Linked DNA regions of Drosophila melanogaster. The protein of the gene in region 2 interacts with the protein of the main gene of each other region in a pairwise test. Each region holds a gene or a part of one and is shown on either strand. Other genes may lie near its edges. The genes, in order: CG33191, CG30324 and dati.

What was found.
Region 1: the proteins of CG30324 (region 2) and CG33191 interact in a two-hybrid assay, tested with the Drosophila melanogaster proteins (one large-scale study listed by BioGRID).
Region 3: the proteins of CG30324 (region 2) and dati interact in a two-hybrid assay, tested with the Drosophila melanogaster proteins (one large-scale study listed by BioGRID).

Annotation. Positions count from the first base shown.
Region 1 is NT_033777.3:8,777,891-8,781,649, forward strand, and holds CG33191 (uncharacterized protein), read right to left. Parts: upstream 2,034-3,759; 5' UTR 1,947-2,033; coding exon 516-1,946; 3' UTR 489-515; downstream 1-488. Other genes in the region: Pif1B (PFTAIRE-interacting factor 1B), read right to left, coding at 1-37; Pif1A (PFTAIRE-interacting factor 1A), read right to left, coding at 37-51; CG33189 (uncharacterized protein), read right to left, coding at 2,309-2,842.
Region 2 is NT_033778.4:16,287,086-16,290,392, forward strand, and holds CG30324 (uncharacterized protein), read right to left. Parts: upstream 1,149-3,307; 5' UTR 1,056-1,148; coding exon 561-1,055; 3' UTR 501-560; downstream 1-500. Other genes in the region: CG9068 (uncharacterized protein), read left to right, coding at 1-365; CG30099 (uncharacterized protein), read right to left, coding at 1,186-1,839; JhI-26 (juvenile hormone-inducible protein 26), read left to right, coding at 2,287-2,523, 2,867-3,307.
Region 3 is NC_004353.4:393,996-397,754, forward strand, and holds the start of dati (datilografo), read right to left. Parts: upstream 1,611-3,759; 5' UTR 1-1,610.

The DNA.
Region 1 (3,759 bases), on a different chromosome or scaffold from region 2:
GGTCGCTGTCGGAATGTCGCTCATGCTGCATGTACATCAGAGCCGGGCATTCTGTGGATGAAATGTTTGGGATAAAATAAATATCTAACAAGGATTTTATACATCAATTCAGGTAAAATAAGAATCTGTTAATAGCCGGCCTTCTGTAACCCTTCAAAAATTCTTGGCTACTTCAGGTTTCTTGCAAACATCTTGACTTGCACGATATTCCGAAACATTGAGCCTTAGCCGCTTACATAAGGTAAACGACATAAGTATGCCTTAAAAAATCAAATCCGTAAACAGGATTTAAAATGTGGGAAATTTCAATAAAGAGAAGTGATTACAATTGACATATAATAGAAGAAAACTGATCAGCAGGAAAGTTAGCACGCTTACGATATTGTGGCGGCTAAGGCTCGAAAATTCGAGCACTCTTAACCGATACCGAACCGATTCCTAAAACCGTTTCAACTCGATTCCCCGGCTAGAACACACATAATTCGATTCGATTTGATTCGGTGAGCAAACACATTTTATTCGATTGGATGGCTCGTGGGTACGAGCAGTTCCTTGATCTCATTGAGTTGGATCTCGCGACCCCGCGTGATTTCCGGACGGGACCACATTTCAGCGTGGTACAATTCTAAGAACTTGGCCTCCGCCTTTTCGCGGCACGGACAAAAATCGAAGTAGGAGGTCTGGCTGCAGACCTCCCGATCCTCGAACTTAGTGAAGATGGTGCCGCGCTGTACGCATCGGCAAACCTTGACATTGGTGTGCTGCTGGTTTGGGGCAAAGGAGCGTTGCTTCCACGGACACATGCAGCAGCCACAGTTGCCGGGACAAAACACATTGCCTTCCTCGTCCATAATAGGACTGGGATCGAAACGGCACGGCGAACAGTTGGAGAACTCCTTGTTTTGAGGCAGGGCAAGGTAGTACCGCTTGCTTCCCGGCGATCTTTCCGGCGGCGGCGGTCCCATTTCTTCTTCCGGCTGCGGTCCTAACATCTCCTGCTCGCTAGACAAGAGCTCATCGGATTCATCCGACTCGGTGATCGGGTGTTCCGGCTCTGGAGCATAGATTATCAAGTGCTCCTTCGGGGCCGTTGGTTCTATCTCCACCAACGGTTCTTCAATTGGCAGTGGCTCAGGCACTGGGGTAAGAGTGAGCTCTGATTCGATATCCGGCAAGGTCAGGCAGGAGATTGAGATGACCTCCCGTGCCCCCGGGTCGTGCCAGCGGCAACATGTGGCCGGAGTGCAACGGTTACACTGAGATGTTGAATCCCCACAGCTTCCTATGTATACCGAACTGGCGGACCCTTCGGCTAGCTGTTGCGATGCACATGGACGAAAGTGTTTGCTGGCGGATTTACCTGAGCTGGGCTTTGGAGCCCTTGGACCGGAACGCATATACTGCTGCGAGCGGCACTGGCAGATGGACTCTTTGCGATGCCTGGTGACCGGTTGTTTCTTTTGCTGACACTTGACCATCTTGCCGCTCTGCGGATTGAACTCCAGCGGCATCTGGACGGTGACGGGCTTTCCGTGCAACGGACAACCAGCGCGACCCTTCTTGGGGTCCACCAACCGAGCGGTCAACTCCAGGGTGACGGCACATGGCTGATTCCAACCACCTGACTTGTCAAAATTCTTGAGTAGCATCTGTGTGGCATTGGCCGCCCGTTCCAGGGCATCCCGTATCGCAGCCGGATCATCGAACTTGCACCGGCTGGTGGCACTACGGCCCTCCTTTGGCGAGTCCTCACCCGGACCTTGACAGTCGTAAAATAAGTCCTGTTCGCTGCGCGTCTGCTGGAAGTTTTCGCCTACGAAAAGCAGTCGGGTGGAGTCCAATCCGCGACTCAATGTCATGGAGCTCTGGTTAACGAAATGACTCCGGGAGTAGTCACTCCGAGCGATGCTTGGATCGATGGGCTGATTAGAGAATTCCTCGTCCATCACGCTTAAAGAGCTTGAACTGTTTTCCCCAAATCAAGCTCTGAACTCACATTAAATTTTAAAGTGTGTGTTGCCTGCTCGATTGTGTCTAAAATACTGATACCAAATGGAGCACAATAGTGACAGTATTGAAAACGTGACCTCACTGGCCTGCTAGTAACTCCTATGAATTTTCGATTTTCCTACGCTGTTCTATGTGTGGTGTAGCCAAAGCAAAGCGAAAATTTATAAAGATACCCAACATACCCAGCAATTACCAGTGAAAAAAATGCATTTCCCAAACATAATCCAATTTAGTCACCAATGAATTTTGAGAAAAAACAACTAAGTGAGCAAGACGTGGCTCTTGATAAGTTTAAAATTTACGTGTTTTGATTAGGTTCCTGGCAATCGGGACACACTTCATCCTTGTTGGACCACTTTACACTCGATCTTCTGCTCTTCGACTTGTTCTGATTTCCAGGTGCATTGCATCCACAAAATGTGCCAATTGACTTGGGCTGGAAGATGTTGACTTTGACCTGGCCGCTTTCCGGATTCAGTTCGATTGGCAGCCTCAGGGTCACTGGGTCGCCGATTAACTTGCACTGCCTGTCCTTGGGGCAAGGACACTTGTCGTCCGTATGTAGACGGGCACTGACCTCCAGGGTGGCCGGATAGAAAAGTGTCATCAAAGGACGAGTTGGCACGGAATCAGTGCCTCCGTAGCACCTTAGCAACCGCTGGGTGGCAGTGGCTGCCCGCTCCAAAACGGCCCGAATCTGGACAGGATCGTCAAATCGAGGCGCTTGCTTGCAGATCACTTCATCACCACCGCCCACTTCCAGATCTGGAGTCTCCTCGTCGTCACTGCGGCAGTCATAAAAGATGTCTAAGTCCTCAAACTCGCCAATCATAATGCTCAACGTTTAAACAATTTGGATTAATCTGATGCCGTTACGAATCTGCCGATAAAACAGTCTACTCTATACAAAGACAATAATCTCAGAGAACTATTGATGTTGAATTATAATGTTCCTGGTTAGCTTCCTATAATTAGATCTAATCTGAAGATCTTATACACGGCAACCTTCAAGGAGACCGAAATAAGGGTCAGTCACTTGGTAATTTACATTTATGTTTGGTGTATTTACATAGAAATAAAGCTCTATTTCTTAGCTCTGAACAAGGTGGAATTGCTCCTCTCCACGGGAATGTAGACAGTGCAGCAGAACTCCGATTCCGCCTTGTGGTTATGGAAGAGCAGAAGTCTTGTGTGGATTCGCTGCTCGATTTGTTGCAAAAGCGCCGAAGATGCAGGCTTAAGGGCCAACTTTAGGTTATGGACACAGTCCAGAGCAGCCACAAATCCTTCATAGCTCTCCTGCGTCTTCTGAGTACTCTTTTCAATCCACATGTCTTGCAAAAATTCAAGATGCTCACGGAAATCCTCTCCGCCCTCCCATAAGTGAAGAAGACGGGTCCGGAATGCGGCAACATCGAGGTATCCGTCCACGGCGCCCTGAATCAAATCCACGAAGCACCTGGTTCTCAGAGGCATCAGGAGCAGTCGTTGCTCCACACCCACATCGACCTGTGTTCCACACTCAATCGTCTCTGGTTGAACTTGCATCTCCTTTTCATTGCACTGTGTCGTGACCTGAACCTCCTCCTCCAGGGTTTTCACCTCGTCCGTTTGTACAAATGACACGCTGGCCAGAGATTCCCAATTAAGATTAACAACTTCAGCGTGAAGGGAGTGCAGGGAAATTCCGGATCTGGCCGAGTGAACCGAGTGAACTGACAACAGAGAGTGGAAACTACTGCAGGAGAG
Region 2 (3,307 bases):
TGCGACGCAACGAGCGTAATGTGATGAAGGTTCCTCGTACCATCCGTGAAACGGTGGCTGCCAAACAGCTCTTTGAAAAACTCCTGAAGGATGTGCCAGTGAAGCAGTCCGCATTTACTCCGATGCTGGAACTCTTCGTTCTGCTGCACAAATACCAGGTGAAGCTTAGCGAGGAAACATTTGAGCAGGTTATGGGATTGGAAACGGCTTGGCTGCATTACCTTCAGGTGCTGGAGGAAGCGGATGAGATGCTGGACAATGAGGACAGTGAGGCCAAGTTGCTATTGGCCAAGCACGGCGAAAAGTTCAAGTTGATATTAAAGGATTTCCTGGAGGATTTCTATTCCAAATTACCCAAGAAATAGGAGTATCATAACTATTATCATAAGTGATAATCAATTTATTTACATTAAATTTAATTTGCACACCTACTAGCTGAGTAATGGGTATGTGATAGTCGGGGAAATTAACTATAGTGATTTATTGAAAAACATGCAAATACTTCTCACATTCCGAACTTTTATTAAACTCTTTTTTCCCCAATTGAGTCCTGCCCAGGATTACAAGTCATAGCAGAGCGATTTATTGGTACAGGGACAACCATCGATGCCGTAACGCCCAATCGGAATGTCCGTCTGGGTCTCCTTGTGCTGCGGTCCTGGCAACTCGTAGAATTTCTTACCAAAGTATCGATCCGGGAGATAGTACGATGGATACTCCGCCCTCAGCCTCTCGTGATCCTCCCGCAGAAATTTTGCCAGTTCGGGAGTAGCCCGTCGAGCTTCCAGGCGATACTGCTTCGGCTTGGCCATTCGGATTGGAACTTCCAGGTGGAGCTTCGAGTGCGGTATGTAGGACAGCAGCTCCTGGTCGAGTTTCACTGCCTGCTCTGCACGAATTTGTGCGCAAGTGGCACACTTGCATTTTCCACCATGGTAGCAGTACCGCTTTCGTCCATCCTCGTCCACCATCAGCAGTGGGGTGCAGATGGGCGACGGAACCGGTTGTGCCTCCGTCTGCGTGGCAACCGACTCCTGGGCGGGATCGGAAAACATTGTGGAAAGAGTGGGGTTCAAATCGGAAAGGTACGAACGATTTGGATTGCAGAATGAAACTAAATATCGGAGAAAAACAGATGTATTATCAGCAAACTCCTTGGCAACTAGATATCAAAAATTACAAATTTTAAATTAAACATTTTATATTGTGCAGCTTGATTAAAGTTTCCAAGTGGCTGGAGACACCTCTGCTGCATCCACAACTAAGTGCAGAGTGAGGATATGCAGCGGAGGAGTTCCACAGCCAGGTGAGATCCCCATGCCGATCACAATCTTTTATCCTCAATCGTTTATCCCCCGTGCAGTAAATGTTTTTGCTGAGATCCTTCTTATCCCGCTTCACAAAACCACAATCCGGACACACATGGGACATCGCTGGATTTCTTTGTGCAGCCTTCATCTGAAGATAGTAATCCTTGAGCTTTCGCTGACGCACTTCCTCGAAGAACTCGCGCATTTGTGGCGAATCCCGAACAGTGGGCTCCTCGATGGGCTTCCTACTCGCTTGCATTGGACAGACGACATCGTCGTGTTGAGCATTCTTCGACATTTTCAACTGATCGTGTCGGCCGCTCGTTATTTTGCCTTTTCGCGAAGAAGAGGACATATATGACATGTTATCCAAATCCGTGATCCTGATCGAAGCACTTGTCCTCTTTGGCACTTTGGATGGCATGCTGATATCTCGACTTTGCTGCGATCCATTCGTGAACTTTCGAACGTAGGTGTTGGCCCTGGTCATTGACCCGGTCGTTTTGAGTAAATACCAGTTGAGGCCCATTGGTAGTTGGTCGATAGTCGAACTGCAACGGTAGGATAGCTTTTTCTAAAACTGGAAATTTTGACTAAAAATATATCGATACCTGTGATTATGGAAAATAGAACTTAATCCAAAGGAATCATTAAACTTTGCACACAATAAACAAAAAAAAAAAACTAATTAAAACTAATAAATAGCGTATCCCCCTATCTTTGCGTCATGATATCTTATCATATCATTTTAACATGCCAAATTGCATCATGCTAATCATTAGGTAGGTACTGCTTCTCTATAAACCATAAAGTGCTTTTAATGATTAGAAAGCTTTTCATTTCCAATTCGCTCTTATCGTGTAATCTCTAACAACGAATGAGCTTTTGGAGAGTAGTACAAAATGAGCTATATGAAATGGTTTATGCTCATTCGCTATCCACAAGCGAAGCGGTTGGGATCGTCAGTACCGACGAAATGGAGAAGATCGAGGCTGAGAGGCAATGGCTGAGATACACGGTTCTTCCGTCAATTCTGAGGAACGGGCGCCTGGTGGACAACTACAGCGAGTCCAAGGTGACCACATTCCATGTGGGGGACATCGACATTGATGTAATTGGCCACTCGGAGGCCTTTATGCTAACTTTTTGCTACCGGACAACCATTAATTTTGAATACGACGGGCAAAAGTTTCAGCGAAAAATGGTGGTTAAGGTAGGTTTATTCCATTCACATAGTATAAATAAATCTTAAACAATCTATCTGGATATCTAAAAACACAACGAAAAGATTTACTATACTCGCGGAATTTAAATTATATTATATAAGTGCCTTAACTGCGTACTACTTACCAGTTTTGTTTTCCAGCAAACTCAGATAGCTTAGTGAGAGTGTGGGTTTTATGGCAAACATTGTGAAATAGAGGGAGGCATCTCAACAAAAGAACAAAGCGAATTGATTTTGAATTCAAAATAAATCACATCTAATGATGAAGTTTACTTTGGCATGCAATGACCCCAGAATACCAATAATTAATTGTTTTTTTTTTTTTTTGTAGAAAACACCTGCTATGCCACCAGAAATGTATGAATCCATACAGTTTGGGCCCCTTTTTACCAACGAGATAAATTTCTATACGGAAATTCTGCCAGAGTTTCAGAAGTTCACCGATGGCAAGTTTGCCGCACCCAAGTACTATTACGGCGAGTTGAACCAGCATTCGGCTGTGGCCATTCTGGAGAATTTCGCGGAGCAGGGATGGCGGGTCACCAAGGATCGTGTGGGTCTGAGTCTGCAGCACGCCATGATTGCCGTGAGTTACCTGGGAAGGTTCCATGGCTTTGCGTACGCCATGAAGCACAAGAACCCGGAAAAGTTTGCCCAGCTGACTGACAATCTGAAGGAATCTCGCTATGCCAACGATAACATTCATCCGGAATGGAAGCTCACCATGAAAACGAGCATCGATCGAGCGGCCAAGGCGGTGGCCACCTATCAG
Region 3 (3,759 bases), on a different chromosome or scaffold from region 2:
TTTGCAGTTGAATGTCCGTGGGCTTAATATATACTTGAATTAGGTTTTTGATGTATTATTAAAAGTCATTTAAACTTAAGGCCGGAATAAGGCACACGTTACGGTGTCGCGATATATTGGTTATAAAATTCATTTATCGCCTATTTATCCCAAAACATGGAGTTAGATTGATGCAGTTTCTATTTGAATTTGTTTACATATAAATTTAAAAATTTTGTAAACGTTTGAATCACAATTTGTTACCCGATACGATCTACTATTTTGATGCCCAGATTTGTATTGTTCGGAAATACCTACATATGTACGCATTGTGACGTCTCATAATTTAATATACATATAAAAATATAATATGATATATTCCAATTTTAAAATAATTCGAGGTTCACATTTGTAACTTAAACGAATATTTAGTTTAAAATATCGTCCATTATATTACCGAAGAATGATATTTTGATTATTTATAGTAGCAATATCTTTAATTTTATATACTATTTTACGTACTGTTTACTATAATAACCACTATCTCTTCACGCTTAATCATGTATCTATACTATTATTTTTTGAGTATTGCTCTTATCATTAAAAAATAATAAGCGACTTGGTGTATAGTTACGTATGGTTATGCTAGGGCTAGCTGTAGGGTATGTGATAGTTCAAACTGTCTGTTCCGGTGTCAGTGTGTCTTCGGTAATCATTCAGGGAGTGTATTTTGTAGCTGTAGAAAATCTAAATGTTTTATTATATACTGTTTAAATTAGTATTAAGAGACTATATATGCAATTTAAATGACTATATGGTTATGTACACATTTGTGTAAATCATATAAATCATATTTTCGATTAGTAGCCTAGTTTGGACTTAAATCTTCACGTAATCATATTTTCGATTAGTAGCCTAGTTTGGACTTAAATCTTCACGTAATCGTTACTAAAACATACAGTTTTATATTGTATTAAATTTATAATTCTTTTGCGCATTCATTAATGTCGTTTTGTACTTTTGATTTCAATTTTGTTGTAAATTATATTTTTCATTTGTCTAAAAAGTAATTTTTAAATGGGTTTTCTCGTTGGTCTGTTTTTATGTTAGGTTATATTGGTTTAGATGTTATTTTTCGGATTGGTGATGAAGTTAATGTTGATGTGGTTCTTCCTTTTTGGTAATAGGTGTAGAAAACTTAGTTAATTAATGCATCTGTTCTATTGCGTTTAAAACTGAAAGATGGCTGGGTTGAGTTAGGTTTGTCGATTTGATCGTTTAGTTACGGATTCTTCTTTATTGTTAAAAACGATTTTTGGTCTATTGTGTTTGTTAAAATTATGATGATCTGAAATTAAATTAAAAGAAATATTGTTTTCATATTTTCATCTGAATTCAGTAAAACACAAATGAAATCGTCCAAGTAAGCATTGCCAAGCAATTCATTTGTGCTTTGTTTTTTTTTTTTTATCAAACAACTCTATTATTTGGTTAGTTTTTAGTTTTTAGCACAGTCCACAATCATTTTATATCTGGTTTAAGCACATTTGATAAAATAAAAATGATCCGCGAGGTCAGGACGATCCGCAGTCGGTTGTTCTACTCCATGGAATATTGCGTTTCTGAATGCCGCATCCAAAATAATTGAGAATAAAAATCATCGCCTCGGCATACGTTGCTTCCCAAGCTGGAGACTGGGATGGAGACAGCCGGGTGCCGAATTGGGGAAATAGCTGGCAGCAGCGGTGTGCTTATTATAAGATAAAAATTGTGTGTTAAACAAAAAGTGACAGCAGCGGGAGCGACAACAACAGCGAAAGCGGCGGATGTGGATTCAGATCCTTGCACTCGGACAGGGAACCTGTGCCAGCGCCGGCGCTGTTGGTAACTGCAGTTGCAGTGGCAGTTGTTTCAGCATTTGCAGTTGCAGCTCTACACTCAAAAAAAAATTGAATAAAAAAATTTCAATAAAGCACCAATTCCTGAATTACAATTCTTAAGCTCGGAGAGCTTATTGATATTCTTATTGCTCCTCAATTACACCTTGTAGGGATGACCTGATGAGGCCTCTAGTCTCTGTCTAGCCCTGCCCGTTCCCTTCTCCGTCTAAGGCGCGGGATATGGCTTTCTGGTCTTTTTTTCAAGTGTATTAAGCTGCATGCTATTGTTGCCCAGCGCCCATTCACTCCACGTGAGTCTGTGTGCGTACAGTGTACAACATATATGTATGTCTGGCCCATGCCGCTTTCATATGCGTTTTCGTTGCATCATCCCCTACGCCGCCCTCTCCAACTGATAACTCTCAAACAAGCAGGCGGAGGGGGGCTGTTGCACTCGTCGTTGGTCGTCGGGTCCCGTCAGCGCTGCACTTCCGCAGTAACATCCCTTATGGCAGCGTTGCAGCGTGATGACCACTGCAACCACCCAGCAAACCGACCTCCTCCCTGCTGTCTTGCTGCAACCACAGCACAGTCCGTTCTGGTCGGTGGAATGCAAATTTGTGCATGATTTAATGTCTACTTCAAGGCCTCTCTGGCACCTCCTGGCCCTGTTACTACCCCTGCCCAGCTCCTGTTTCTGTCCACGTTCAGCCATCTCCCTTCCGCCGCCGGACAGCCAGCCAACTGTTTCTGTCTAGCTCGAGTTTTGCGCTGCACTTGTGCATGTATGTGCGATATGGCTGCATTTCTGGTCTTCGTCACGGTGCGGCAGTATGCATTTTAATGCTTATGTGAAGTTCTTATGTACAAACACGTACACAATCAAGTGGGCGGCTCGCAAAGCACATAGGCATCCGGAAAACACTATTGAACCCTACCTTTTCAAAATGAATGTGCAGCCGTGTATGCTGCAGCATATACATATGTACATATTTAGGTAACGTTAGCCGCCACCTCTGCTGCTCAATCGATTTTGGTCTGTGCTTTGGTCTGTGGGAATCGACCTCTATCGATTTTCTTTAATATTATATTTATTTATGTACACACATACATGCATGCATTCGCAACAATTCGTGGCGTGGAAAAAAGCGGATACCTAGGGTATATGTATGTACATAAATATCTTCTTGCAAATTTGAATATTGTTTTAAAAGTATACACATGCTCAGTAAAAAAAAATTACAGGAAACCCACTATTTTTTTGTTGAAAATTATGTGCTATTCCCATAGATATATTTTACAGCAGTCGTACATGATTGATAAATACCTTATAGTATAGTACATAGTATCTTTTGGTATTTGGCTGCTATCTTGGATAGTGATCGAAGAGGACTTTGACGCCTTTTGGTGAGATAGTAGACAAGGCTACCATGAAGTCGCATTCACATCATCTCATAAAAGAGATCATAAACCCGAAATTCTATCAAGTCAGTCTAAATACAACTAGTCAATCCGCATACATATCTACATAATCTAAGGTTCAATCGGTCGACAGCTACGCATGAGCTTTAGGCAAAACCTAGGGTCCCGCGGTCTTAAAAATGGGCTTACAGTGTACAGCTAAATACAAGGACAGACCGAGCATACCAAATGTTCAAACTCACTTGACTCAATTGGTTAAGCTGAGAACTTGTGCTCAGAAAACGTGTTGTTAGGTTGGCTCAATTACGCACGTCAAACCCGGTCACGCTTACCTCAAACTGTCCTGATAGTACGGAAACACTTTTAGCTTTCCTTTTAGCATCCTAACTCTCAAGCAAATATAAAAATGATGGCTAGTTTTTCAAGATGTCCAGCAGTGCAATGCAAAAGAGATAAGCCGACCTTCGGACCACTAATA